2 linked regions of the Elephas maximus indicus genome follow. The protein of the gene in region 2 interacts with the protein of the main gene of each other region in a pairwise test. Links are inferred from orthologs where the notes say so. Each region holds a gene or a part of one and is shown on either strand. Other genes may lie near its edges.

What was found. The genes of interacting proteins can lie anywhere in the genome.
Region 1: the proteins of CDA (region 2) and PLEKHB2 interact in binary tests that used the Homo sapiens proteins (3 or more experiments, as listed by UniProt). The two-hybrid records come from large-scale screens. The link is inferred for Elephas maximus indicus from reciprocal best matches to the Homo sapiens genes CDA and PLEKHB2.

Annotation. Positions count from the first base shown.
Region 1 is NC_064824.1:17,843,616-17,847,365, forward strand, and holds the start of PLEKHB2 (pleckstrin homology domain-containing family B member 2), read right to left. Parts: upstream 2,926-3,750; 5' UTR 2,804-2,925; intron 1-2,803. UniProt on the Homo sapiens protein: Involved in retrograde transport of recycling endosomes.
Region 2 is NC_064821.1:60,841,955-60,845,704, reverse strand, and holds the start of CDA (cytidine deaminase), read right to left. Parts: upstream 2,197-3,750; 5' UTR 2,125-2,196; coding exon 1,971-2,124; intron 1-1,970. UniProt on the Homo sapiens protein: This enzyme scavenges exogenous and endogenous cytidine and 2'-deoxycytidine for UMP synthesis.

The sequences.
Region 1 (3,750 bases), on a different chromosome or scaffold from region 2:
TCTGTGCAGAATACCCCAAGTCAGTGTTTTACTCTGCCTTCGAAAATGCTTCCAAGAGTAGAACCTGTGTTCACACAGGTCAAGGCTACAGAGGCTTTTTAGAAATGCTGAGTCACTTATACACACCAGCGACTTACACATTTCCTCTTTTGGAAAAACAAGATACTAACGATAACAGCAAAATTAAGACACACTGGCCTGGTGCCAGCAGATGGCTCTTCTACAGACAAACTGGGTTAGTGCGCAAGACAGAGATTAAAATAAACTATGCTGTTTTATTTATCGCCCCAATCTGCTCGGCAGCTAGACTTATTTAAGGTCTTGTTTAATGCCCCCTCTCCCTTTTTTCATTATTATTATATTTAAGGAGAGAGCAGCATTTAGCAATCTCAGTTCTGTTTTTCAGGCTGCCTTTTTTTTTTTTTTTTATGAAGCAGTCACCATAAATTATCTACTGTCTACCTGGTATAAAGCCCAATGACTCATCTGATACTTGTGTGGTTAATTTCTTTAATAATGCTATCCCAAGGGCAGTGGGAGGGCTTGGACCTTAGCCACAACTATTTCAGGACTTCTATCTTCTACCCTGCTGAATACAGGTCAAGGGAGGGGGCACTGAATCTTTACACTATAGTAATTTGCCTTCCCACATAAGAGTTATCAAAACATTCCTTCAAAACTATCTGCTACAGAAATGTGCCAGAATCTCAAAGACAAAGCCATTGCTAGAAATGTCATTCCAATATCAAATCTGGATAACTGGTTACCGTAACCACTTCTTCCTGTAGACTCAGCCCATCTTGGTATCATAAGCTGTTCTTGGCATCGTGAAACACCAATCTCTACTCAGGTCCTCATTTCCCTGTTAATGATTCATCTTTCTGATATTTTTTAAACAAGTTACCCACCCCCCCAACAAAGGAATAAATTTCACTTCATTTCTAGTATCTGAATAACTTCCCATATTTGAATTGTTTCCCCATTTGCTTTTACCTGTATTATATCCTTTATCATTTCAGGTGGCCTCTAAACCCAGCTACTTTCCAATCCAGAAGTTTCCATTCCCTCCAATTCTACTTAATCCTCCACTGTCCCAGTTCCTGGTCCTTTCCTCCATATGTCTTACTTCACTTGCTTTGGGAGCTTAAAGGATTTTACAAGACCAGGGTCCTGCACTGGAGCCATAGTTATCCTGCCCAGAAGAGTAGAAAATGGGCTGTTTCATTCCTCCAACTCCTTCAGTTTCCTCATCAGCTGACAGATGAGGCTTTACAGGTTGCATAGCTCTGGAACTTTCTAAAGTAATGACTCTATTGTCAGGGTTTTTCTGGGCTGATTCGCCACTGACTTAATTATGACCTACATGCCTTACAAAGCCCCAGTACAACTATTTGCAGAATGGCTATTAACCTGGAGTTACTACAGCACATACTGAGACACAGTTGTAGTCCCCAATAGATAGGAACTCACCCCAACAATAAACTTGGATAATAAAGAAAAAATATATATTATATATTAAAGGCCAGTTAACAGTTTTTTTTTTTTTTTTTAACAGTTTACTGTCCCAGCTCAGGACCTAATTTCTCCTGTGACTGGTGAAGTCACTTCCTGCACTGGTAATGGTTCCCTCAGGGTCCAAGTGAGAGCATAGAACATTCCTCCTTTCAGTTGTAAGCACTCTGCCCTCTGCTGGTGGCTACACCTTGTCCTAGTCAAACCAAACCAGACTCTCTGTGGCCCAGTCTATTCTGACTCACGGAGACTCTACACGACAGAGTAGAACTGCCCCACACGGCTTCCAAGGTGCGGGTGGTGGATTCGAACTGCCAACCTTTCGGTAAGCAGCCAAGCTCTTAATCACTGCCCCACCAGGGGTCCAGTCAAACCAGAGGCAAGAAAAAAAAAAAAAAAGTGGAAGATTCTCAGGCACCAGAAGTCAGTGGCATTTTGAATGAACATGTTCCCTGAGATTTTTTGACAATTTGACTGTCTCATCTCATTTCTTTCCTCCAACCATCCTGAAAATCCCGAAATTTACTATTCACTCGTTTTTTGTGAATCGCTCTATATTTCAGATTTGAAATTAAAAAAAAAAAAAAACTAGGCCAAGGAGAAATAAAAATCCCTGACCTCCGGAGTTCTCCATCTAGTTGGGTGAGAGACTAAACCGTGAAAAAGGAAAACCACATAAAGCCACGTACAACAAAGCATCAAAAACTAAAGATACTGTCAAAAGCAAGTGGAAGGCAGCGGACAGGCCTCCTGGAGAAGCGCGGTGGGATTCACGCGCGAGCTCAAAGCGTCAAAGACATTCTCCTCCTCCCCAGAGCTGCGACCTCCGGGCGGGAAAGAGGAGAAAAAAGGAGCCCGTAATGCCCTCGACCTCGGCAGCCGCAGCAGGGGCTGAGCCGGCTGCCGGCGCTGGAGCCCGGGAACCAGGAGACCCCAGAGGGCGGGAGGGCGGCCGGGCCCGCGGACGGCACTCGGACAAAGGAGGCGGCGCAGGAGCCCCGCGTCTGGACGTCGGGAGCGCAAACGAGCGCCCAGCGGTCAAGGAGGAGCAGGGCTGGGGCTGCAGGGGCCGCGCGGGGGGTGGGGTCCGGACGGGCGTGGGCGGCTCTAAGGGAGAGGACGTGGAGGGTACCAGCGCCGGACCGGAGGCCGGGGGGGCGGGCCGGGAGGGGACCGAGGGCGAAGGCACGCTGGAGGGTCCACTCGGAGGGGCGCGGGCCGGACGCCTGGGCGGCCGGCCCAAGGGTTGCAGGGCGCGGGGTCGCCACGACCGGGGCGGGGGGACAGTCACCTGAAACCACGCCCAAACGCCGCTCTCCGAACCAGGGCCTGCTGGCAAAACGACGCGTCTCTAGCTCCCGAACTGCTGTGAGAGAAACAGCTGAGCCGAACGGCGAACATCCTGGGCGGCCGCCTGCGTCACGCGCACGCACATGCGCCTGGCGTTGCGAGAGGACACTCTGGGAGTTGTAGTTGCTGGCGGGAGAACTTGGGGTTGTTGGAAGAGAGCTTGGAGGGAGGGGGTGGAGCACGGGCTACCGGGTTAGGAGCTTTCTCCATCTCTTCTTTTTTTAAAAAAAAATATAATTTTATTTATTTTATTATTGCAAAACATGCACCAGTTACATTTTCTACGTGTACCATTTAGTGACATTAATTATATTCTAGTTCTGCAACCCTTCTCACCCTCCTTTGCTGCCCTGTGGTGGTACCTACGCCTTGTCCTAGTCAAACTTGACCAAATCAAACCAAACACTTTGCGGTCCAGTTGATTTTGACTTATAGCGACCCTACAGGAAAGAGTAGAGCTGTCCCATACAGTTTCCAAGAAGTGGCTAGTGGATTCAAACTGCCAACCTTTTGGTTAGCAGCCAAGCTCTTAACCACTACCCCACCAGGGCTCCTGTCAAACCATAGCCAAGGAAAAAAAAAAAGTGAAAGATTCTCAGGCACCAGGAGTCAATGGCGTTTTGAATTAACATGTTCCCCGACATTTTTTGACCATGTGACCATTCCACCTCATTTCTTTCCTCCATCCATCCTGAAAAACTAGAAAGTTACTGTTCGCTCATTTTTGTGAATCGCTCAATATTTGAGATTTAAAATTAAAAAAAAAAAAAAAAACTAGGCCAAGGAGAAATAAAAATCCCTGACCTCCGGAGTTCTCCATCTAGTTGGGTGAGCAACTCAAACGTGAAAAAGGAAAACCACGTAAAGTCACGTACAGCAAAGCATCAA
Region 2 (3,750 bases):
ACTGAATAGTGGACTTTAGAGTTGAGGCAGACCTGGGTTTGAATCCCAGCTTTGTGATCTTGGTCATTTTAATCTCTCTGAGCCTGTTTCCTCCTCTGCAAAAACCAGAAAATCCAAGCCCATTGCTGCTGAGTGGATTCTGACTCATGGTGACCTCGTGTGTGATGGAGTAGAACTACTGCATAGGGTTTTCTTGGCTGTAATCTTTTTTTTTTTTTAATTTTTTTTATTGTGCTTTAGATGAACGTTTACAGAGCAAATTAGTTTCTCATTAAACAATTAATACAGATATTGTTTTGTGACATTGGTTGCCAACGCTGTGACACGTCAACACTCTCCCCTTCTCGAACCTGTGTTCCCCATTTCCATTTGTCCAGCTTTCCTGTCCCCTCCTGCCTTCTTATCCTTGCTCCTGGGCTAGTGTGCCCGTTTGATCTCATATACATGGTTGTTTTATTCTTGTTTGTTTTATGGGCCTGTCTCATCTTGGGCTGAACCTCAGGAGCGACTTGAGTACTGAGTTAAAAGGTCTTGGCTGTAATCTTTACAGAAGCAGATTACCAGGCCTTTCTTCCGTGGTGCTGTTGTGTGGATTCAAACTACCCATCTTTCAGTTAGCAGCCCAGCACAAACTGTTTGTGCCACCCAGGGACCTCTCTCTGATGTGAAGTGGTGATATAATAACTGCATTGTGGGTTTGATGAGGGTTAAGTGGATAACATTAGTCATATTCTCATACTAGGGGCTCAATCAATGTTACTTCAGCTTGAAGAAGTTTAAATCCCAGGTGATTCATGAAACAGAATCTCAAAAGACAGGAGATAAAATGAATATCAAGGAGGAGCCCAGGAAGGGTTGTGATAGAAGGGGAGATGCAGTCCCTATAAGCGGACTCACAGCTGGAGCGGTGGTGGGAATGAGGGACCTGAGTCTGGACCTGATGAGGGTTGGTGGGAGGTTGCCAACCACGTGTACACATAGGAGCCTCAGGTCCTTTAAAAACCTGCTGCTAAGTGGAAGGGGATTGTAGGCAGCAGGGTTGAATCTCCCCATCTGTCCAGTGTGCCCACTTTCTAGCTGCGGAGGGGGCGCAAAACTTCCCTGCCACCTTCACATCACATTCTCCCCTCTCCTGAGTGGAGCTGCCCCTTAGTTTAGCAAAAACAAGGTTTTTTTGTTTTGTTTTGTTTTCAAGTGAAACTTTCTATAAAACCAACCAACCAAAGAAAAGGAGCTTAGGGATGATTAGTGTGGGCTCAGATTCATTTGCTCTCCACCCCATCTTCCTAGGCTCCCACTCACTGACTCACAAACCCTGCCTGTTTCCTTTCCTCTGGGACTCCCTGGAAGGCCGGCACCCCACTGAGTGATCCCACCTGGATTCTTGCCTCTCCCCCAGCACAGAGAGTGTGTGTAGGGAAGAGAGCAGGGCTTTGGGGATCCCAGCTCTGGGTTCCACCGTGAATACCCTGTGTGACCTTGGGCAAGTCACATCACCTCTCTGGGCCTCAGTTTCTTCGTCTAAAAATGGGTGTAACACCTAGGCGAGTGTTTGGGGGTAGGACTTACTGATATAACTTGTGGAAGCTTCAGCACAGTGCCAGGCACACAGGGGCTCCGAAAGAGTTAACCCTCTTCATCCCAGCTCAGGACTGCCTGATGCTCTTGGTTTGTGTCCCTTCCTGCCTCCCCTTCAAAACTTCCTTCCTGCTTCCCAGTCCTCTGAGGATTGCAAGCCCCTGGTTTCAACCAGCAGTAGAGTTTGTAAGCACGTTTACACCCTTTGCCCTCCGCCCTGCCCCCCTCCCCTCCGCAGCAGGCAGGGCAAGAGAGGCCCAGAGAAGGGGACAGGAGCTGGCGAGGGCAGAGCTGGGCTGTCTTCGCGGTGCCTCTTCCACGAGTCTGGCCCGTCCTCCCCTTACCCTTCCCAATGCGGCCGGGGATGAGGAGCCCCGGGCGTCCGCCCTTACCGGAGAAGATCCTGCCGTCCCCAGTGAGGAGGGCGGCGCCCACAGGGAAGTGGCTGTAGGGGCAGTAGGCAGTCTTCTTGGCCTCGCGGCAGGACAGCAGCAGCCGCTGGACGTGCTCGGGCTCCAGGGCGCGGGCGGGACCCTTCTGTGCCATGTTGGTCCCTGTCTGGTCTCTGGGCGGAGGAGAGGAAACCCGAGCTGGCCGCAGCCAGCTGGGCTTGCAATTGCAGCTCCTCCCCGGGGGTGTGTCCCCGCCGCGAGGTCCGAGAGGCTCTCAGGTGCGTGGCCTTCGGGAAAGCCGGGTGGGACCAAGTCAGGGAGAGGAGAGGGCAGGGCCGTAGCAAGGGTAAAGGTGCCAGGGGCAATCTCTAAATTACGCCCCCCTCCCAATGTCAAGATGAATGAATAGACGTTGATAGAGTGACGTATCAGTAGAAATGCCTTTCCCTTCTTGTCCAACTGTCTCAGTCAGGCGCCTTTCATGTTTGTGGCGCCTTGGAATGTCATTCCAAGCCTCGTCTGGCGTCCTCCTTTGGACCCGCCTGGGGCAAGTGCATCCCTCTACCCCCGGTAGACCTCTGAGGGGCACCTTGGGTGTGGGGTCAGAGGGTGTGGTGTGTGTCCCAGTGCTGGTGTGTGTTCCAATGTGGAAGGGTGTGACTGCTTCATAATCTGGCTTAGGGGCAGCTGTCACTGCTGACACACTGCTGGGTGAGTGAGGGCCTGTGCCACTATGAGCGGGGGGCGGGGGGGGGGCGGCGCTGTGTGGTGGGTGACTGTGGACTCATACCGTTCCGGGAAGAACCTGCTGCGGGGATAAGTGTGAGGGCCTGGAGACCCAAGCTCCGCAACTTGATGGCCCTCAGTTTGTTGAATGACTTTTTCTCGCCTTCACTGAAGGAAGAGATGAGGCTGAAAGGGCAGGTCTGGGGCAACCACACTGGCTGTCTGAGTCATGAGGCATGAGGAACTGCAATAAGACCAAGGAGATTCTTTATTTGCATCCATTCTCCTTCCAGCTCCTCTCCTCTACAACCCAGAACTCAAATGCTTCTCAACTGAAGGGGACCTTTGAGATCATCTACTTGGGCCCCCTTATCTTCTGGTTGCTAAAATGGACATGAGTTTGGTGCTTAAAAAAAGGGGGGGGGAGATGTTTGCATACTGCCTCTGCCACTTTCCAGATGTACAACCTTTGGCAAGTCATTTGACCTCTCTGAGCCACAGTTTTCTCATCTAAGACCTTTCTACATCCTGGGATATATACGTACTTGAGCTTTGGAGTTTAGTAGACCCTGGTTTGATTCCTGGTTCTGCCATTTATTAACCATGTGGCCTTGGGAAGGTCACACTATCTCTCTGAGCCTCAGTCTTCTCATCTATAAAATGGGTGTACTAACAGTATCTCATTAACAGAGATGAGGATGGAATGAAATAATGCCTGCACGGTGAGCGTGGTTGGAGGATCCAGTGACTTCACAGTGTCAGCGCTCTTTGTGACTCCACACAATTGGGGTTATTGTCAGTGGCGTCACAAGGGTTAGTGTCACCCAGTGCAGTAACCAATGGTGTCACCCCCCTCCACGGACCTCCTCCCATACCAGACCATATGGAATCCTTAGTAATATTTTTTGTATTGATGTTACTTGTAAATCGTAATTCCTGTATATCACTTCTTTTCCTTTAATTACTAACTTCGCTCTCCAAAAGTTATTGATATAGGTTCACAAATACTAATTTCCACAATATTGTAGCTAAAACATCAGAAAACTTGACAAAA